Linked DNA regions of Saccharomyces cerevisiae S288C. Changing the gene in region 2 together with the main gene of any one other region gives a genetic interaction. Each region holds a gene or a part of one and is shown on either strand. Other genes may lie near its edges.

Region 1 (6,273 bases), on a different chromosome or scaffold from region 2:
GTTAGTCAGCCACACATTGACGTACACTGTGAACAGCCTATTTCTTTCCATGTATCTCAGTGCCCAGCTTATGAGAACTGTCACAGCCTCCCACTTGACCCTCAGAGCCCTCTCCACTCCCCCCCTCTTTCAACATCGCCAGATAGCCGCCGTTGAATGGTGCGGGACAACCCGGCCTGGCCTGGCCAGGCAAAAAAGGACGCAGCACGCCTCGAGCGTTATTTCCAAATCGGGCGTACTATCAGCCAAGCCCAGCTCGGTATTTTTAGCGCTTCTCGCAGGAAAATTGGCTGAGAAGTATATATACGCGAGAATGTTGCTCTTCCATGTCTCAGTAGTCAATGAGTGTCCAGTGGTGTTTCATTCTGGACCAGTTGTTTGGAAGTAGAACTAAAAGAAACTAGATCAAGATCATACAACGCTGCGCAGTAGTGAAACTTGATTAAAGCAATAGAGAACTATTAAGAAAAAAACAAACACATCATCGAAGGACGCTATAAGCATGAGGAATTTTTTCACGTTATTTTTTGCAGCTATATTTTCGCTAGGAGCACTTATATTAGCCATTGTTGCATGCGCAGGATCAACGAAAAATTACAGTCCCATAAATAAAATTTACTGTGCAGAATTGGATCTGTCGCAGATGAAGGTATCGACGGTGCTCCCTTCTTTGAGTTCTGCTACGCTATCTTCGTTGGGCCTGCCCTCATATATAAATATAGGGCTTTGGTCGTACTGTACAGTGGACTCCTCGCATAACATCCAATCATGTTCTTCGCCTCACGGTATCCAGAATTTTAACCTATCGTCATTAGTGTATGACAATATCAACAACAATGAGGCTCTGGAGCTTATGGATTCCGTGGCCAGTGTTGTTTTGCCCGAAAAACTAAAAAGTAAAATGACATACTACAACAATTTGGTCAAGTGTATGTTCATTACCATTCTTATTGGTATTGTCTTGACCTTTGTGAATCTAGTGTTCAACGTATTGCGCTGGATCATCCACATAAGGCCGCTAACGTGGTTTGGTGCCTTTTTTTCATTTTTCGCCTTTGCCGCCCTATTAGTCAGTATAGGTTCGTGTTTGGGCACTTACTCATACATCAAATACATCCTAAAGCATAACTATAGTGATTACGGTATTTCAATGAGCATTGGTAGGAACTACCAGGGTTTGATGTGGGGGGCTGTCGTTGGAGCATTACTGAATTTCATTCTATGGTGTAGCGTGAGATCGAGGCCCACCGTCATCTATGCGAACGCTCCAATTGAGGAAAAACCATTGATTTGAATTTGAAAAAGGCAAGGTTATTAATTAATTTTTGTGTTCCGTTTCATATTAAATATGATTAAAATATATTGTCTATATACAATTCAGAAAATTATAATGAAGAAAATTAAAAGGATGGAGAATTGAAAAAATTTACGGGGTGATGTTGCATGATCTTCTTTTTATTATTTTACCTTGCAAAGTTTTTTTCAGCATCAATGGGGCTTTCGTGTTCTTCAATGATTCTTGAGGTAGTAGAGTCACTTTCTTGAACAGCTTTCTCAGCTTCCACGATGGCAGCTCCCTTTCTGCTGCTCCACCAGCAGTATGCAATGCAGAGAAATACAAGGACGGCAAATACAAATCCAGACCACATTAGGCCATAAAATGGAGAAGAGCCAGAAATAATGACATCGTAATTGTCCTTCTTGGAGCCGGATTTCATCATATTAAGGATGACGCTAAAGATTGTGCTTCCCAACCCGCTGAAAATACATATCCAACAGGAAATAAAGCCCAATGCCAACCATAATTTTTGACTCACCACGGAACGTCTACTTAGTAGCAACAAGAATACCATTAAGAAGAAGGATGTGATTATGCACATTAAGTTCATAGCTAAAGCTGCTTTCACTGCTGGGACATACATGTGTTGTCTGTCTTGTAATTCACCATCTAAATGCAAATCGTCCTTACCGATGTTCAGGGCATCCATATAAGGTTTAAAGTCCGAGCCTTCAATGTTGTTGTAAACAATCGACCGGAAATCCATGTTTTGAACAGCGTGTGACTTGCTACACGAGTACATTGTTCTGTTTAAGTGAGCACGACACATTGTGAAAATGGACAAACGGTATATGACAGGGATGTGTAGATATTCAAGGATAGAAGGAGTCATTTCCTTGAGTTGTTCTGGTGTGATAGTTGTCATGTTTACAGCAGAGTTTAAAATTTTCAACATGGGCATAAATGTAGCGGCATTAGTTTCTGCCCATTTGGTGATATTAACCAGAGAAGAGAAACTTGACACGGGGTCGCTTGACGCAGCTAATAGGCTGAACAAGTATGGAACGTACTTAAGTAATACGGTGTTATTGGCCAATTGGGATTCCAAAGTAGGGATTATGGAAACAACTGTGGATGCGTTAGCACTTGCAGAAAGGATTTCATCAAGTGCCACCAATTGGTTAGTAGAGGAAGCGGCTTCTTTAGAGAGGGCCAAACTTTCGACAGATGTTAGCAGCTCTGTTTGGTTTGTAGTGTAATTCAACAAGTCAGTCAAAGCACCCATGGCAGCTTTAGCGGAAGATGATTGGGTAATGTTTTCGGCAATCATAGTGCTCAATACGGATAATGTTACATTTTGAGATGTAGTTTCATCAAACAGAGTAACAACAGCTTGGACAGCTGGTTTTAAACTCGAAGGAACGAGGGAGCCTAATTGCATAATAGTTTCAGTAGCATTGCCACCTTCCGCAAGACTGGTTTTTAGACTAGAAAACAATGAGGAGACCGTTGAAGTTGGAATGGTAGAGTTCATTATGGTTTCTAACGCATCGCATGTGGCAGTAATGTTCTTGGAACTTGCGAATAACTCGAATACAGGCGACAATTTTGTCTTTTCTTCTGTGGTCATATTATTTAAAGTGATCAAAGACTCAGTAGTGCCTATAGGATTGGTCGAATCCACTAATAGGGTTAGAACAGTATTTTCTAAGGAAGCCGAAGTAGAAGAAGTGTTGGTTGACATAGATGACATCAATGTGCTAAACCCATCCAAGAGTTCGGTTGTGTTTTTAGAGGTAGTCAATAACTCATCAAGAGCGGAGAAGGTCGTGGTAGTAGCGGTATTGGTTCCTAGCAAAGCCATTGGAGCCAACTGTGTCAAAGATGATAATGTGGCTGAAGTGTTAGCAGCATTAGACAACAAGTGCAGTAAAGGAGACAAGGCTTCGGTAGAAGCGATTGCCTTAAGAGCGCCGAAGATGGTATCCACCGTTGTATTTGGAGCGGTTAGAGCAGAACCTAACACAGTCAAAATTGGGCCAACTTGTGGCATAACTTTTGTAACGTTGATTTTTGATATATCAGCATCACCGATATAAATGTTCGTTATTGGCTTATAATTTGAGGTAGAACCCGCAGTTGCAATAATGGTCAACAGAAATGTTGTAAGTGTCAATAAAGCACAAATCGGGAGGAGTATTTTAAAATTCATCGCAATAATTTGACTGTATTACTGAATTTTTATTTTACTGTATCAGCATCGCATCTACAAGCTATTATGAAGTAAATGAAAATCTCAAGGCTTAATGTGAGTAAATGCAGCTAGATTGTCAAAGGTTTATATATTTTGTCGTTCTTTTTACAGGAAAAAAAAATTCTGTGTAGAAGTGTAAGATCTATGATTGCAGCAGCTTGAAAAGCGATAAGTTTGTTGAGGATTTAACAATTTCAACTTTTTTTTTAAGCAGAACAATAGATTGACGTAGTTAAATTTGTCTACTAAGATCTGTAGGCAAGTTTTTTTTTTCCAGGGACGACGCCGTATAGAAAAAAGCAACTAGGGAATTTACCAGGCCATAATGCGGTGGATTCAAGCTAAACGAGTACTGAGGGGAACTTTAATCTTCAAGGCGGTATCCAGGCGGATTTACGAAGCAACTGACGGAGTGCTGCAGGAATTTAAAGGAGAGTTCTGGAGCGCTTAAATGCACCTAAACAGTATCCACGGAACATACTGTACTAAATACACGTCAAACGGGAACATTTCAAAAAAAACTTAATAATATAACTCAGTTTTTTTACATAGTGATAAAAGTGATATATTCAAGTCTTTTTACTATTTGCTAGGCATCCAAACCGTTTTGTTTAGACGTATCACTATTTTAGCATCACTTATGCATTTGTGCCAGAATGGACACTATTACAAACCCCACCGTGCCTCAGCTGAGAAGGTCCCTTACCTAAAGAAAAAGAAAAAGAATTCTCGAAACGAAGGCAAGGCAAAAAAAAAGAATGAAAAGAAAAAAATAGGAACTGTTGAATTTTTTCAACAAAAAAAAAAAGAAAAAAAACGGGTCCTAAATGCGGTGTGTGGGTTATAAGATGCCGCAAATGAAAGAATGCTATTTAGAGTAATCGATTATCATTCTTATTATAAGCTAAGTTGGTCAAGATGACCTGTTTGACCTAAAGACAAGCACTAACGCAGGCACCGCACTAGTACTTAAGTTTTCTTACGTGAAAAGGAAATATGGGTGATATGTGTCTGTTCCACTCATATCTTTTGGTTTCTAATTTTACGTAATCTCTTGTATTTTCTTGAGAGGGTAAATTTTCACGACGCGTCAGACGCTTATATGAGGGACGAAGTTACATATTTGAATGCATTAATCAAGAACAATATTGTTGAGTAAGCGAATAGCTACCATTGTTCGCAGTTCTAGGATCGCTAAACAGAAAAGGTTACTCTCCACGTGTTTAGAGGGCTACCCACAAACCGTCATAAATCATACCTCCTTCTTTGACGAGCGTATTGCGCCGTTCGAATGATTCATTCCGCCAAGAACTAAATGAACTTCAGGTTTGGGTCTTTCCACTTTCTTAACCCAACCATTCGTTTGCGTCCTTTTTGCCCCAACCTTGATCTTAAAAAATTGCAAGAAGAACTTTATTTATCAATTCGCCCGCGAAGTTAAAAAAAACCGATCTTCGCAGGCACTCGTTAGAACTTAGAAACAGTTCCTCTTAGGGCAAGCGCCCTTGTCGTATTTAGCCTTCTTTAAGTTGAGCTGTAACGTTGTTCGAGTCCGAGAAGTATCCTTGACAGGGACGATAACCATCAGCAGGAAAAACGGTATTTTCATTTATATCCTTTCCTCGAGGAGGGCTTGAATTATGCAATCTCTAAATACTATTCAATTCAGAGAGTAGATTTTTGTGGGCAAAGTAGACGTCGCTCTCTTTCAGTATACGTTCTTGAGCTTTCCATTTCAATGAACCGGCAACTAAGTTGGTATCCTTTCATGATCCTGTCGAGTACATTTATAACAATCATGTTGATTGTTCCAGTATCATAGATAAAGCGGTCTCGTGTCGTTATTGATGGTAAAGCGTCAGGTTACGATGCCCTGAAAGGTTACAGTTTAGTTATAAAGTACTATGTAGTGAATGATATGTTAGTACTCTATAGCATGTAACGTCAAGTCAGAGAAGGAATTGATCCAGGGTTTTTCCTTCAAATACTTTCCTTCATCAAAATCGGTGAGTATTTGGCAGGACTTAAACTTCGGTGCTATTGAATCATAGTCTATATCAGATGGTGTGACCTTGAGTTTAGAGGAGTTGTTTCTGTTTTTTCTTTTTCTCTTTGGAATGAATGTTGCAAAACCATCTACATCATGTGCTTTTTTAACTTCTGGCGGAGCGTTAGTCTGCAAGTAATGAACTAGCTTGCTTAAATTAGGATAGTTTTCACAAAGTTTTGCTTTGGTGTATCTATCGGTGTGTGATATCATATTATTTGCCAGCCATAAGTGTGGTCGCTGTGACGATAGTATGTTCTCAGTTAAATCCAAAGGAGCATGGGGAAGGAAATATAATACCGATTCATAATCAATTGCATCGTTCTCTGAAAATTCTTCCTCTATCAGCCATTTGCTTCCTAAACTTTTCAAGTACTGTATCTCTTCTTTAGTAAATATTGGATCATACAGGGAAACAACGACATCCCTTTCATCCTCACTTTTTATATAATCAGTAATCTCTAGGAGAAGAGCGAATTGGTACGTCGCAGGAAAATCCTCCTTGAAATTTCCAATTGCAACACATCGTATTTTCTTAATGTTATTGAGGTGCGGTTGTAAATTTTCAAGTAAATCTGAGAGGAATGCTGATTTTTTCAGAACATCTCTATTTGTCTGAACAATTTCTTCAAACGCTTTAGCAGGCACTACCTTCTTGCCAGTTTTCTTAAACTTTGTCCCACTTGCTTTAAA
Region 2 (4,021 bases):
GTGCTCAGAACATTATAACAGTCCACCTCTCCAAATGCAAACACAGGCACTAGGTTAATATTCCCCGTTTGAATGGCCAGTTTAATAAAACCCTTTCTTTTGTTTAAAATCAGTTGTGTACCATTTGTTGAACTTAATAAAGATTCCCTAGCGCCACCAACAACAATGCAGATCGACTGATTTTTGCTTAGAGTCCTTAAAGCGTTTTTCCGAGATACTGAAGAAATACCTAACGCCAATAAGTAGTCTCTATACAATGGGATATGAAATTGTGTGACCAGTGTCATCAGAGAAATAGGAATACCTGGGAAAATCTTGGAATAGTTACAACCTTCTGTTGCAAACGCTCCAAACGCACCAAGTGCTCCTATGCCGTGTGGATGGTAACCAAATAAGTACGTTGGCCCTGTACATTCCTGGTTGCGATAGTCAATAGTAGAGTTGCTTTTGAGATTAATGGAATACTTAGTTGGCCACAATCTAATCTTGTAATTTTTTTCGTTAACTCTCTTATTTTTTGAAAGCGTAAAAGTTGGTTTTAAATTGACAGTTTTAATCAAACTTATAGGGAAATAATCACAATACCACTTCCAAATGGGCAATGAACGAAATCGAAGAGAGTATCGATTTACCACTTCGCCAGTTGCAGGAGACCTATCGAAAAAAAAATAAATCATATATGGAATAGCAAGAACCCACAGTGCTGGTGTCGAGATTGCAAATAACGTAAATATGGAGAAGAGTACAAATGAAGAAGTGTGCCATGCTACAGCCAGAGTTTGTAACCTTCTTTCAAAAGGGGTCGCCAATGGACAGCATGACTCTAGTTGTGGTTTGAGAGTCTGTTCTCTTTTATCGATGCTTGACAAAGACTTATTCTCATGCCTTTCGGTAATACCGGCTGTAGGGCTTCCTTCTTCCTTCTTCCTTCTTCTTATATCATTGAATGTTCCTGACATTTATGTGACTGTTCAAACTGTATGCCTCTGCGTTTCCTTATGTATATGTAAGTGTATGTGTAAATGGAAATGAGATGATAGTAAACCTCCTTAATGGAACAAACGTGATCTGGGATAAACAGGAAAAAAAAAAAACTTTGGCGGAAGTGTAGTGAAAGATCCAAGCCTGATAGACCACTGTCGTGCTTGGTTAAGTACAGAAATGCGGTGGAAGTACTGGTCTGCTTTGAGGAATAAGTTTCCAAATTCAGTCTTCTCTTTTTCTAGCCTTCCCATTACGTCAATGCTGACTGAATCTATCAATTGAATAAAAAACGCACATCATAAGCCTTTGTCGGCCCGTAACTTAGTTGCCTGCAGAGAACAAAGTACAGAAAAACTTCTTGCTCTGATTACCAGTTACAATAACGACTAACTAATATTTAAATAAAATGTACATCTATCTACTCTTTCAATCTTTCCGTCTTGTTATATATCGAAACCACGGTCTCTTAGTTGATGAACGGTCCAGATCCAAGTCGATGCCGCTTCGTCGACATTGTTAGAAACGTAGCTCGATTTAGATTCTTTACCCCCCGTGGTGAAGTACTTCCCGTTATCTTTTTCGACAGATAAATTCGGGTCCAATGCACACTTCAAAGAAGCTAGTGAACCTTGTTCGTTCGATACGCCGAAAAAGAACCCTACGACCTGGAACAACAGCCAAAAGAAAATACCGACGATGGGTAACCTTGTCCAATAACTGAATAAGTTTGTGTTCATCACCAGACCCGGATGAACGGAGAGACAAAGAACGTCAGGGTATTTGATGGCCAACATCTTCGTGCATTGGATTAGCGCGGTTTTACTCATCGCGTACCTAAACCATGTGAAAAGCATATTAGGTTTGTAATCCCACGTCTTGCTCAGTTTCCAGTACATGAACTCTAGATGATGGCCTATCGAGGACAGGGAAATGATCCTGCCACGACAATGGCGCAGTAAAGGCAATAATCTCATCGTGAAGATGAAGTGCGAAATGTAGTTAGTCTGCAATTGCACTTCAAATCCGTCCTTCGTCATTTCTAAGGGCACCGCCATAATCCCTGCATTGTTAACAAGCACGTCTATGTGGTCTTCCAGCTTGAGAATTTTAAGTGCCGCTCTCTCCACACATTTTAAGTCTGTCAAATCCAAATGGATATAGTGCAGTGACCCTAGACGCTGAATGCTTGGACCTGGGCCCGCGCCTGGGCTTGAACCGTCGTCATCTTCATGGCACCTCTTCTTTGCTTCTGCCAGTATCTCCTGGATTGCTTTCGAAATCTTGTGAGAGTTTCTCCCACAAATATAAACGACAAACCCATGCAAATACAAATGCAAGACAGTATACCACCCAATACCCGTATTTCCGCCTGTTACTACAGCAATCTTCCTCTCCACAGCCGGGTCGTAGTATGGCAATATTCGTGGGTCTAACATTCTGCCTTTGGCGTATGTCTCGTACTGCGGATGCCTCTAATACCAATCAGGCCTACAACCATTGTCTTCCCCGTTTCTACAAAGACAATAGTGTGTGTGCATTGTAAGTGATGCATCATGCACCATAATGATTTGTTTATATATACCCATGTACACTTGGGTCTCATTTCCTCAATTTTTTCATATCTTACCCGCATATCTTTTCTTTCAATGCCCTACTTCTATACTTCAGGGTTTTCCAAAAAAAAACAGTGATTAAGCAGGGCGGCATTTTCTTTATCTTGGGGCTTAGAAGACGCGAAAGACCTGTGGCTCAATACCTTTTTCGGAATATGTCAACAACACGAAACGCCAAAATTCTTGGCCCTGATTCAGGTACCGCGGGGGCCACGAATTTTGGCGTTCTGTGCAGGAATGACGTCTCTGCCGATTATGAAACTAAACAAGGTATGCTATCGGAGGTGGTCTGAGTTACTCGACAGATTTTTCTGACGAGAGTGAGTGTCGTTCGAGATATTTAAGCTCCAAAATATTTCCCTCACCTAGCTTACATTTTGGTTTATTCTTTCTTACCTCTACCTTTCTAAGTTTTTCTCTTCTGCTTCCTTTTCTTTTCACTTGGCATATTTTATCTATAAAAAAGTTTTGCAAGCGTTTAAGCAACTAGTTTAGCACAACATCCAACCAAGAGGTTTCTCGCGTATTTCTCTCATTTTTTTACCCATTTTACAAATTTTTTTTGCTATTTGAGCCATAGTACCCATTAATAGGTCTCGTCCATTCCCTTGTTTTTTTTTTATTGTTTCAATTACACTACATAATTAAAAATCACATCACTTTCACTCTCACCTTAGTCGTTCTTTATCAACCAAAAATAAAAAAATGCTTCAATCCGTTGTCTTTTTCGCTCTTTTAACCTTCGCAAGTTCTGTGTCAGCGATTTATTCAAACAATACTGTTTCTACAACTACCACTTTAGCGCCCAGCTACTCCTTGGTGCCCCAAGAGACTACCATATCGTACGCCGACGACACCACTACCTTTTTTGTCACCTCAACGGTCTACTCCACGAGCTGGTTCACCTCAACTTCAGCCACCATTACCAATGCGGCCTCCTCCTCCTTGTCCACCTCTTCGGCCTCTGGATCTGTAACCCCAGAATCCACCCATGAAATTACCTCCACCTCGACTATCACGTCCACTTTGCTGCTAACCCTTCATGACTCCACTACTTTGTCTCCATCATCTACTGCAGCAAGTGTCAGTGACGAAGATTCAAACAACAAAGATGCAAAGGTCAAGTCCTTTGAACAGGCTTCAACTTCCAATGGTTGCGTCCCAATCACAAAGTTTGTCACTGTCACCAATGAGCCCGTTACCCAGTACGTTACAGTCACCCCAAATACGACTACACAATACGTTACTGTCACCGGTGCACCTTCTGTTACCACTACCTCTCCAGGTAACGTACAATGGTACAACACCACTTCGATTACTAATTCGACCAGTTGGTGAATTATGAGTTCAAACGTGTCCTTTTAAGTTCTTTTTGTTTCTTTTTTGTATCTGTATTGACAATTTCACCTTCTGTAACTCTATCC
Region 3 (6,853 bases), on a different chromosome or scaffold from region 2:
ACTTCAATCAAGTATTGAGCTCTTCAATAGGGCACTAGCCCTCTGAAATTTTTCATTGAAAATACCGTACCGCATGTTTTTTGGAAATTTTTCATCTCATCGCTAAAGTGGAAAAAAAAAATTCTAGAAACTGAAAAAAAAGAGAAAAAAAAATGACAGAAAATATTTGATTTATATCAAGATGACACGAGTTTGCAAAAAGAGAAAGACACGCTATAGAAACTATTTTGGCAAATTAATCTATTCACTTATTTTTGAGTTTCTGAGTGTAGTTATATGCAAAGAGGCTATAAATCCTTATTTTTTTGAGAAAAAATGCTTGAGAAAAAATGCTTGAGAAAAGATGTATTTTTTTTTATTCGTTAGCATTTTTCCAGATATCGTTGAACATTGCTAGAATACTATCAAACCCGACTTTCCCCTTCACCGCGTTATCACTAAAACGTTTAACGCCCCAGTTTTCTACTTTCTCACTAAAGGTTTTGGTCGGAACACCAGACAGAAACTTTGCATCCTGCTTGAAAAGAGTCACATTCGATGGATTTTTCGGATGAGGAACATAACGTACGGTTTCGTAACACTTCAAAATATGCGGGAAGGTCATATTGCAACTCCTCATAGTTAAAGATCTGTCCCTTCGATCAACGGTGGAGACCTCTCGCACGTATGCTAAATTAGTGTTCCCCACTAAAATGGACATCCAGTGAGGGGTGTTCTGACGTATGGTTATCAGCCGTTCTGTAAGAAGTACATCGCCATGTTCTTTGAGCTCTCGGCGGAGCACATCGACTGCAATAACGTGTGTGGAGATCTTGTTTGGATATTTCATCCAGTTCGCCGTGGTGACTTTCTCCCATGGGTAATCGAATTCATAAGATTTTTGAAATGATTTCATTATTAATATATAAGCTCGAGAGATATATGACTAATAGAAATATTTACTTGAACTTGTCGATTAGAGAAAAGAAAATGCGTTGCTTGGACCGCAGATCCCACTTATTGTTTTCTTGCCAAATGTAACAAGATCTATAGGTTTATGAACTTTCTTCGAAAATCTCATTACTTTTTTTGATAAATAAACGGGCCCCTTGCGGACAAAGCCCTGAAAATTGAAGATTTACGCAGTATCACGTAAACCCAAAAAAAAAAATACAATATCGGTTAAAGTGCTGTTTTAATTTAGAATATATGTTTTACTAATCTATTTATAATCAAGTATATGTGTAATTTGGCTTTTTCCCTTGCCTTGTGCTTAACCTAGTTTTTTTCAGGTGATTATTTTACCGGGCATTACCTCCTAATACCCATCCTCCCATGTTATCCATATCATCTTCGCCGTATAAATCCAGGGTGACGGCTTTTTTATAAACGGGTTTGGTGACTGTAGAATTCGAGTTTGAGTATTTCACTCCTTCAGTTGTTACATCTGTAAAGCCTGCACTATCATTGTCATCATAGAGATTTAGATTGAAATTATTGGAATTTATACCAGTATTATTGTCGTTATCATTATCATTATAGTTATCATTGTCTGGGTGATTCGGTACTATTGTGCTATTAGTCGAATCGTTATCGTCCTCGCGTTCTTTGGGGAGAGATCCAGACATGATTTGGTCTTCTTCCTCGAGATTTAGTAACCTATGACTGGAATTGTTACTATTTTTAATGCTATTCGCCATCAACGCATCTGTAGGCGTTCTGGACTTGAAGTTTAGTGCCAAACCATTCTTTTCCATGTTACCATTCATCAAGGTGCTAAAAAGGTTAACTGATGGTTGTCTTCTCAGTTCTTCAAATGACTTGTTGATCAAATTCTTCTCAAATAGCAAGTTACTGTTTGAATTATTTCTCATTAGTAATGGAGATGCCTGTTGTGTATGTTGTGGAATTGGTGAATTCAAGAATTTTTGCTTCTTACTTGTGTCATTTAATAATTTGGAAAATGCGTTTGATACTGTAGACATGTCATTCAACGAGGAGTTTGAACTACTTGCGCTTGTAGAGGGCGTAGATATTCGGGAAATAAATTCCGGAGGTATCAATCCATTACTAATAGAAGGAGCCAAGTTTCTGTTCATCAAAGATTTCCTTTTAATAAGCGTTGCAGACGATAGATTCTTTTTGTTGTTGATAGTGTCTGTCCCGTCAAAATCACCATCGTGCACGTAGACGTTAGTAAAATGGTTTGAAGAGGTCGATCTTTTAGGTGATGAAGCCCCTGCAGAATCGGGTTGTTGGCTGTTTGGAAATTTCTGGTTGAACGGCTTTTGCAGAGCAGGGTCCATTAAACTCAAGGACCTAAACCTACCCCTTGTTTCCTTCGAATTTTTTGCCATAGAATCTATTCCGGAGGATAACACGTCTGTGCTCGAACCAGAGCGGGACAAAATGCTTGGAGCGTAAAAGCTCAAACCTTCATCGTCACTCTCATCGTCATCGTCATCATCGTCATCATCGTCTTCATCATCATCATAGTTGTCTTCATTTCCACCTTCTTCATCATCGTAATTAAAGCCATATTCATCTGCGTATGAGGTTCTATCCTGCTCTTGTTCCCCTCGTTCTTTTGTATAATCGTCATAATTATTATTGTTGTACAGGACAATTTCCTCATTCTTAGCACGGTCTTGCACTTCGTTGATTTGGTTGTTTAACTCGTCATATACTAGTTCGTCGTTTGATGGTGTCTTTCCGTAGGGGAAGGGAGAAGGCGATCTGGACATATTAGAACTAGAATAGGATTGTGAACGGGAATGTGGATGCAGATGCGATTGTAAATGCAGTGCAGTTCCCGAAGGCTGCTTGCGTAGGTTGGATTCCTGACCAATAAGATTGTTGATTGACGTTGATGGGATAGTTGTGATGGATTCGTTCGTTTTGAACATATGTGCCCTGTTGGATTTTCTGTTGATAGACAACGACCTAATTCTGACGGACTTGTCTTTATTGGAGGTTAAAACCGAGTTTTGAAAATTCAACAACGACGAAGAGTTTCTTTTCAAACTTGTGTTGCTCTGGTCGTCGCCCTTATCTTCGTTAACAGCATCTGAATATTCATGTAGCGCTTTTATTGATTCCTGGGAGATAAGGCTGGTGAGAGGGTGGTCTGACAACAAAGTCAGCAGTGCTTTTACCCCCGTGCTATTCGTGACAATAACTATGGAATCCAAGACAGTCTGGTCTTGCATGCTACCATTGCTCTGGTTTGAGCCGGTGAATTTCTCGTTCAACTTGGTGTAGTACTCTTTGAACGGGAGTGACTTGGAGTTCTGGATTGTCTTAGTGAAAGAACCAATATTCTGCCAATTAATGATTTTTAAATTAAGCAGTTCTGCGTTCAGGAAAGTAGAAAACCACTTGAGAGAGGTGGGAGAAACGTTGATCTGGAAACATAGGTTTAGTTTCTTTTGAACATACAAGTCTTTGAAAGAATTAAACAATTTTTCAACCAAAAATCTTATGGTCTCCACGTAACGTAAAGACCCCGAAGACGACACCAGTACATTCAGATCAAACTTGTTTTCCGGTGTGCTGCGAGAGCTGATCAGACTTTTCAACTCCTCCCAAAACTTATCGTTATCTTCCGCAGTAGATGTGTTGGAAAAACTTTGCGCGATCGAATTTCTAAGCCGATGCAGCTTAAACCGTTTATTCAGTCTGGAAAGCTTGTTATGAGTCATCTCATCGTTGTAGTAGTCGATCGTAGGGATATCTATGTAAAGTAGGATGTTAAGCTTCTTTAGCGAAGGGTACCGGTCCGCCAAAGACGCTTGTACCACTGTCTGCTGCATGTTGGAGTAAGTGATCAGAAACAGCGAGTCCTGTGACTTCACACTAACTTTTGGTGAAGTGGACTGGGCAAAGCGACGCTCATTAATGCTCGCGGCTGCTGCGTCCGTACCGACAGTGTCCATCGTAGTGTAGGCTTCCCAAAATTTAGGATGTGATTAGTAATAGTGGTTGATTGCGAGCTCCGGGATGCGAGGGAGAGCGTGTATGTGTACTTCAAGTTCGCCAACTTCTCTCTTAAATAGAAAAAGAAAAGAAGAAAAAGGAAACGAAAAAAAAAAAAAGTAGGGAAAAGCTGAGTGATGAAGATCCGGGCTGCCAAGATTGGGTTTGAAACGTGTAGTCAGCTACAAACCAAAAATTAAAAGAACAATAGCAAAGAACCTTAGTAGGAAAACAATAAAATAATAGACACGACACCCGTAGAAAGATAGAACGGGACGAGGGGCCGGTTCAACAACTATCATACTTTCTTGTTCAACAACGCGATTAACCCAAATAATAAAAAAGCTACGAGACAAGAACAGACGAGGCAATACGAGCAACGAGCGCAACGAGAACGGTAAGCATGGCAACGGCGCGCACACCCACGCCCCGCAACCGCACACCTCAGCTCAAAGTAACCCACTTTAACGTGACTGGACCTGAGCTGTCTGACTCGGTCGTTTGCAAATAGGTTAACGCCGTCGCTTCTCCCTTTCGTGTACCGTATATCTTTCTTTAATTGCATTCCCTTGTTGTGATTATCGTTTCCCATTGCAGTGAGCTTTCATTTTGGGGACCCTGGGAGTAGGCTGTTTTTCGATAGAGTGAGAGGTGTGGGTTCTGCGGCAGAATGGATACGGGCCGTGGATCACTGTTTACGGGAGTTTTGCTTTGGTGGCAAAATTTTCGCTCGGTGATGTGTTAGTAGTTGTTATTCTGGTAAGAAACGAACGAAAGACGGAAAGGATTATGTATAACAGTGTATGTGTGCAGTGTGTGGAAAAGGTAAAGGTTAAGGGTGTGGAAGCAGTGAGAAGCAGAAGATTATAATATAAGTAGAGTAGAAGCATGTCATTGCAATTGTTGAATCCGAAGGCTGAATCGTTGAGAAGGGATGCGGCTTTGAAGGTTAACGTCACATCTGCTGAGGGCTTACAATCCGTCCTAGAGACCAACTTGGGCCCTAAGGGCACGCTAAAGATGCTTGTGGATGGTGCTGGTAACATCAAGCTGACCAAGGACGGTAAAGTGTTGCTGACCGAGATGCAGATCCAGTCGCCTACAGCGGTACTGATTGCTAGGGCAGCTGCCGCGCAGGATGAAATCACGGGCGATGGGACCACGACGGTTGTGTGTCTTGTGGGTGAATTGCTTAGACAAGCGCACCGTTTCATTCAAGAGGGCGTGCATCCGCGGATCATCACTGATGGGTTTGAGATTGCGCGGAAGGAGTCCATGAAATTTTTGGACGAATTCAAGATCAGTAAGACGAACCTTTCCAATGATAGAGAGTTCCTTCTGCAAGTGGCCCGGTCGTCGCTGCTAACCAAGGTGGACGCTGACTTGACGGAGGTCTTGACGCCCATTGTAACGGATGCGGTGCTAAGCGTGTACGACGCGCAGGCTGACAATTTGGATTTACACATGGTTGAGATCATGCAGATGCAGCACTTGTCTCCTAAAGATACCACTTTTATTAAGGGTTTGGTATTGGACCACGGTGGTAGGCATCCTGACATGCCCACCCGTGTGAAGAACGCGTATGTTTTGATTTTGAACGTATCTTTGGAATACGAGAAGACTGAAGTTAACTCTGGGTTCTTTTACAGTTCTGCGGACCAAAGGGACAAGTTGGCCGCTAGTGAGAGGAAGTTTGTGGATGCCAAGTTGAAGAAGATCATCGACTTGAAAAACGAAGTTTGTGGCATGGATCCAGACAAGGGTTTTGTTATCATTAACCAAAAAGGCATTGACCCCATGTCTTTAGACGTGTTTGCCAAACACAACATCTTGGCTTTGAGAAGGGCCAAGAGACGTAACATGGAAAGATTGCAATTGGTCACTGGCGGTGAAGCTCAGAACTCTGTGGAAGACTTGTCGCCTCAGATTCTTGGGTTTTCTGGCTTGGTCTACCAAGAAACCATAGGCGAGGAAAAATTCACATACGTTACAGAGAACACTGACCCCAAGTCTTGCACCATCTTAATCAAGGGCTCCACTCATTATGCCCTCGCTCAAACAAAGGATGCGGTGAGAGATGGTCTCAGAGCTGTGGCAAACGTTCTCAAGGACAAAAACATCATTCCAGGCGCTGGTGCGTTCTACATCGCCCTTTCGAGATACCTAAGATCTGCCAACATGAACAAGTTGGGTGCCAAGGGTAAAACAAAGACAGGTATTGAGGCGTTCGCAGAAGCATTGCTGGTAATTCCAAAGACTTTGGTGAAGAACTCAGGATTCGACCCATTGGACGTGCTCGCAATGGTGGAGGACGAGTTGGATGACGCTCAGGATTCTGACGAAACGAGATATGTTGGTGTGGACTTGAACATAGGTGATTCTTGCGACCCTACCATCGAGGGTATTTGGGATTCCTACCGCGTACTAAGAAATGCTATTACCGGTGCTACAGGTATTGCCAGCAACTTGTTATTATGCGATGAATTGTTAAGGGCAGGTAGATCCACTTTGAAAGAAACACCACAGTAATAAAAAATAATAATAATAATAATAATAACAAGAACACGAATACTAGTAGTAATAGTAGTCAGATACAAAAATTCTATGTAACATATTTTTTCCAGTCACTATCATCATCATCATATTTTGTATATATACATTTATTATATAAAATATCATACCAATTTTTGCCAAAGAACACCGTTTCCCTCTTCGCGTTGACCACAGTAATTGCAGAAACGACAAAAAAAAAACAAAAAAAAGAAGCACCATTCTAACTCAGCCTTTAATAACCTGACATGATAACTTATAATAGTCATTGCCAGTTGCTAAGTATCTTTGACCAAAAATCACAACATCATGGCTGTGGAGGAAATTGCGTCCCGCAAGGACATTAGTT
Region 4 (5,688 bases), on a different chromosome or scaffold from region 2:
GAGGGTTTTGAACGAGGGAAGGTTAGTTGAAGAGGATTGCTCATCACCACATTTCACTTTCAACCAGAGATAAAAGATGTGTTTCATACTGGACATATCTAGATATCTTTCCATACATCGGAGAAACTCAAAAAGCTGCTTTTCAGTTATTGGAAATGTATCAGGATTGGTAATTGCTTGCGTGTAAAATTCCACCGCTAGTTGAGTGTTATTACTCCTTATGAAAGAGTTTAATCCTAAAGATATCATTTGTGGCTTTACTTTGCAATATTTGATATATTCTGCAAATAAAGTTTCACAGACATCAAAATGATGTAAATTATGCTGTACTACCAACATAATTTCGATGAACTGACCATATGTGCCTTTATCAGTGTGGCTTGCTAATAAGGGCGTGAATTGCTCATATGTTGTGTATATTTGTCCAATATCGTAGTCCCTTTTCAAAAAGTGAAGAGAATTTATTAAGATCAGTAATTGCTGTATTGAAAACAAAACCTTTTGGTTAGTGGAAAGGCTAATTATTGTCATCAAAATATCTGGATCTGCACTTTCGAATTTTTGCTTCCACAATATTCCAAAATCTTTGTCTTTCACTATATTATATTGATTCTTAAGAATATCTAAGCTGCTGGGGCTTTTGGTAATGGAGTCCATCCAATCGAGTTTATTCCGAGACTCATACACACCGCTTATTGTTGAAGAATCTTTTAGTTGCGCTTTAACCCAATCCTCAATATCTTCCTTATGCTTTTTTTTGATCAACTCAGTTGAGTAATATCGTACTTTAAAGAAAACAGTGTGCATAACCTTGTTTGATTCTCTGTGAAGTAATCTCTTTATACCACTGGAGGATATAAATCTCCGTTGTAACATTAAGTTCTCGTAAGCAATTGTTTAAATTTAATAGGTAGTGATAAAAAATTTGACGATATCAAAGTTGTGGTGTAATTAATAGAATACATGAAAAGTTATGATCAACATAAAAATGCTCTATACCAGATAGAATTTTATAAAAAAGGAAGAGAATAAAACGATAATAAAAGGAAAGACAGGTTAAACGATTGGAATGGGGTCTTCAAGTTACAAATCTAGAGGAAAGTGTAGACCTAGTGCAGCAATTGTAAATTTTGAACCTTTCTGTGGGGGGAGGGGTTTCTCAAAGTATCAGATAGTATTATGCACGGTAAATAAAGCCTAACAACAAGAAGTCCAAACAATAAATAACAACCGTTTCTGATCCTTGGATCGTATACAGAAGCTTGTTCATTTCAGTTTTTTCATTGTCTCTTCCTTCGGTATGCCTACCTTTCTGAAATATATGGTTATTATTCGAAGAACTCGTAAGGTCCGGGTAATAATTATGAAATGCAATAGTAAAATATAATTATTACTCAACTGGCTGTATATATACGAACTCCTTCAACAAATGTACATAAGAAATGTTTATCACAACTATCAAGTTTAATCATAAATAGTTTCATAAGTGTGTAATTCTGGGCTCACGCTAAAGTATATTCCTGACAACATAGTTTGGCGAAGGTTTGGCAATATCTTTATCAAGTAGTTCATGTAAGGATAAAAAAAATGCGATATAATAGTGGCTAAGGGCTCAAATGAGGATTCGTCAAAATAACATTCATAACTTGCAAAGTGATGAATTCTCTCAAAGCCATGGAAATTCCACGTCGTATCCTCAGGGGCATACTGTAGTAAATCCAAATCCCAGTTCTTCTGAGGATCAAACCTCTTAGCTAGAGATTTTCCAGTATATGCTGCAAACACTATCGGTATAATATCCAAGTATCTTGCATCCGGGGTCGAAAAGTATTGATGATTCATGATGTACTTATCAAATAATGGTAAGTATTTGGAGCAGAACGCACATTTGCAGCCGTTCCACAAAAGGTCACACGCATACATTTCATATGAGGTGATGGACTGCAATACAGTTGGAGCTATTATTGTTTCCAACGAAGTTAGCTTTGGTAAAACCTTTTCATAAAGTTTTTTACGGCGAAGCAAGTTCCCATCAACAGTATCAATGCCCTTGCCATTTAAAGGTGGGTCATGTCGTATGCTTAACAAACGCAAATCTTTACTCACGTTTGGTAAATTTAAAATAAACTTATTAACGACCAAGTCCCATTTCTCGTCCATGTAATGGTACCCTTTTTTGGTGAATGTCTTTTCAATGAACCCCAGACTTGTTAAGGAAACAAGGTTTCCTGTTATATCTTGAAGAAAGTCATCATCACATTCACAGTCGTCCACCTCACAAGAAAATTCTAATTCAAGGGCTTTAAGATTGGATAAATTAACTACATCCTTAAACGCGCGTGAAGATAATCTCATAGAAGTAGCACTCCCATCACCTTGTTTGTGAACATGATTAAGCTTCAAACGGCGCAGATTCTTGAAGCGGAGGTTCAGGGAATCAAAGTATTCAAAGACCCTTAGGCTTGAGTACGCTTCGTCCTTTATTTCTAACTCTCCTCCATTAAGTTGCTTCATTAACATTACACCCACTTCAGGGATTATTACGTTTTGCAAATCCAACGATTCAGGTAATTGCCATTTTAAGCTTTTGAAGTTTTGCCATAATTTGATACCATCAAATCCAGTTTCGCCATATACTACTCTCTTCTTTAAACTTGACAGGCGATAATACTTTGCTGAACATAACTCAAACAAGGTAGGATCCTTGATGTCAAGACTTTCAATCACGTCCAAGTCAGTGATTTCATTGACCAATCTTTGTAACAGTTGCAATCCTTCTTCCCTGTTGTGAAACAAATCCTCGTCAATAGTCAGCTGTTTTATACATTTTAAATGCGATGTCTCCAACAACCTTTCAATTCTATCATATAAAAATATGTCATTCTTGTCACCGGTTTTCAGAACAGATCTATAACCACTTACATAAGTTTTTCCCCCGTCCAAAAACCATTTGTTTGTTCTTAAAACAGGATTCTTAGTTATGTGAATATTGCTATAAAGACGAGGGATTGCAATCATGTCATGCATTTTTTTGGATGTTAGACTTAGGCTTAATAAATCATTTTGATTAAGAAATAAGGAGGCATGCGAGAACACTATGAATATATCTTGATCTTGGAATGCCATTTGTCAGTATTACTTTTGTTATATCATGTGAGCACAACTGTCGTTTTCACAATAGTTCAAATTGACTAGAGAGTTAGTAAAGGGGTACAACTTGCTTTTGTAATAGGGCACACCTTTAATTTTCCATCCATGAACATTTTTCAACAAAAAAAGAGGTGGAAAAAATTCAAAAGAAAATGACAACGGTAAAGAAATTAAATCAAGTTCCATCATTGTATTTAGAATAGAAATCGACATGCTTTGTAATAGGTTCCACAATGAATCTCGTCACTAAATCCACAAGTAGGTTAGAGATGAATCAGATTATATGCAAAGTATATATCTGTACATATTCATTATTTATAATTGGGAATAACTGATAATTAGGGGATGAACAGAATGTTTAGTCAGAACATTGATAAAATTCTCATAATCAGAAGGAGAATAATGTTGAATCAGTTCCTTTAAAAGCGTTATTCTTGAAAATATTTCAGCATTAGAGCACCAGCCGAGTGGGGAATCTTTAAAATCCTCGGTGTTGAAGTGCTCCAATAGAGCACTTTTTAGGTGATGTATCTGGTCTTTGTAACACTTTGAGATATCCCTTCCAGTCAATTTTATCATATTTAATATATGCATTGCCTTTTGTAGTTCGTTGATGAACTGGTTATCCTTTTCTATAGTAAATAGACAATTCTTCGCCGATTCTTCGGCAGCAAACATATCATATTCATTTAGATATTGAAACAACTGTAAACACAACTCTTCTACCACCTCAGAACTTGTGAATACGTCAACAAACTTTTTTGTGAATATAAGAGCGGTCACACTGGTGTTCCTGTTATATTCCCAGTCTGCAGTTTGAATAAAGTTCTTATTCAAATAAAAAGAAGCCTTTTCTCTTATTTCAGAATCATCGTCCCATAAGAAGTTGTACAGTTGTAATAGTATTCTGGAGTTCTTACAACTTTCTGGATAAGCAGTTAAACATTCTAAAGATGCCAATCTAAAATCTTTTGAACAAGAATCGGCGAAAAATCCTTGTAACAAGTTCCATACCTGGTGAAAGGTTTGCGAAGACAATTTAGCACTTAGTGATGAAACGGCAGCAAGTTTTGTATCTTCACTATTATTTGTTTTTAGGAGATCAGTGCAGGTCGTCAGGGATAAAGTATTCTTTTTTCTTGAGAGAATTTTCACTACTAAAGCTTTAGCCATAGGCAGCAAATCTGGAACCCTGAGTAATAATTGTAGTTGTTCAAGAAATTCTGAGTTTCTTGTAGTTTCCCAGTGAAAGTTAGTATTCATGTACTGTAGTGTACTGAGCTGAGCCTCATAAAATGGAGAATACAATCCTAATAAGCAAATATCATCGAGATATATACTATCCTCATATTTTAAGAGCATGTCTAAGATTTGTGCAAGATATAGCTGTTTGCTACCATCCACAACATATTCGTTATTTTCAGCAATAAATGTGTTCCGCAAAGTGCTGATATAATCTTTTAAAATAGAATCAGGTATGTCGCATGTTTCCAATATACAGCAGGTCAATTTTAAGTAGGCCTTTTTAGTGATAAAGCACTTGTTCTCTAGTAGAAGCATCCTTTTCTTTTCAAGTATCCTTTGAATCAACTCCATATCTCTAGTTCCTGAAAGGTATTGTGGTACTAGTTGTTGGAGTGCTAGTAAGTGTCCATGTAACTGGTTTTGCTTCGCGATAGAAGCCAAGTCAAGTAATTTTCTTATCTCTTCTTCAAAATTTTCCGACAGCATATGCAATACTCTAGAGGCCATATCTCTGATCTTCCAGTTCTCATTTGATAAACATTCATAAACAGAAACGTTGAATTCTTTTAGACCAGTATAGCCAGCTGTAGGCCGTAACCTCAGTAGCACATTAAGGACCAAGAAAATGCTTTCAATTTGATATGATTTTCTTTCACTTCCCGAATATTGAGCAATAGAACTGTTTAGAATATTCAAAAGCAGTTGCCTCAAGCCAGAATATTTGGTAAAGAATAATTTTGCACTAACGCTTCTGCCCACTTTTCCAAAAATTCTATTTTGCAAGGAGGTAAACAGCATGATAGAACAGTTTCTTAGAGCCCATATATCACAGTCGAAATTCAATAAAGCTAGTTCTAATGCCTCTGAGACAAATGACGTACAGTGTACAGAGAGCTTCGGTTCAACAAAGATTGCGTTTATACAATTAATAGCATTAACCTGTGGTAAATCAAACTCATCTTGATGGGGAGGAATTGGTAACCTTGCAACGAGTAGTAAGTTTTCAAAAGTTTTTTGTAACAAAGGTCTCCCTTTGGTAACTTCTGCACTTAAGACGGTTGTGACCAAGAAAGGCAAGCCTCCTGACCTTCTTGTAATATGTTGAGTTTTGGATTTTAAAGATTTTACACTCTTGCTTAAAAGTTCTTCCAGAATAGCGGGAAATTCAAGTTGACAACGAATACAAAATGCCTTTAGCCCCGGTAAAACGGCTTGGAAGGCGCCACTATGACGAATAGTAGAAAGCTGAACAATAAAAAGATCGCCGATACTGTCTAATTGATCTCTTGTTAA

What was found.
Region 1: mutations in ENV9 (region 2) and INA1 together harm fitness more than expected from each alone (negative genetic interaction), as found in Saccharomyces cerevisiae (2 studies listed by BioGRID).
Region 3: mutations in ENV9 (region 2) and SND1 together harm fitness more than expected from each alone (negative genetic interaction), as found in Saccharomyces cerevisiae (2 studies listed by BioGRID).
Region 4: mutations in ENV9 (region 2) and ROY1 together harm fitness more than expected from each alone (negative genetic interaction), as found in Saccharomyces cerevisiae (2 studies listed by BioGRID).

The regions. Positions count from the first base shown.
Region 1 is NC_001144.5:948,374-954,646, reverse strand, and holds INA1 (Ina1p), read right to left. Parts: upstream 3,492-6,273; coding exon 1,464-3,491; downstream 1-1,463. Other genes in the region: YLR415C (uncharacterized protein), read left to right, coding at 50-388; PUN1 (Pun1p), read left to right, coding at 503-1,294; YLR412C-A (uncharacterized protein), read left to right, coding at 4,174-4,380; BER1 (Ber1p), read right to left, coding at 5,455-6,273.
Region 2 is NC_001147.6:794,374-798,394, forward strand, and holds ENV9 (Env9p), read right to left. Parts: upstream 2,421-4,021; coding exon 1,428-2,420; downstream 1-1,427. Other genes in the region: DGA1 (diacylglycerol O-acyltransferase), read right to left, coding at 1-959; SRL1 (Srl1p), read left to right, coding at 3,303-3,935.
Region 3 is NC_001136.10:831,579-838,431, forward strand, and holds SND1 (Snd1p), read right to left. Parts: upstream 3,915-6,853; coding exon 1,281-3,914; downstream 1-1,280. Other genes in the region: UPS3 (Ups3p), read right to left, coding at 356-895; chaperonin-containing T-complex subunit CCT6, read left to right, coding at 4,843-6,483; SLY1 (syntaxin-binding protein), read left to right, coding at 6,814-6,853. UniProt on the Saccharomyces cerevisiae protein: Functions in the SND pathway, a SRP (signal recognition particle) and GET (guided entry of tail-anchored proteins) independent pathway for targeting a broad range of substrate proteins to the endoplasmic reticulum.
Region 4 is NC_001145.3:781,156-786,843, forward strand, and holds ROY1 (Roy1p), read right to left. Parts: upstream 3,127-5,688; coding exon 1,465-3,126; downstream 1-1,464. Other genes in the region: PET111 (Pet111p), read right to left, coding at 1-876; tRNA methylation protein TRM732, read right to left, coding at 3,466-5,688. UniProt on the Saccharomyces cerevisiae protein: Non-SCF-type F-box protein involved in the endocytic with the vacuolar sorting pathway. Acts as a repressor of YPT52 by inhibiting the formation of active, GTP-bound, YPT52. Involved in the defense mechanism against methylmercury toxicity.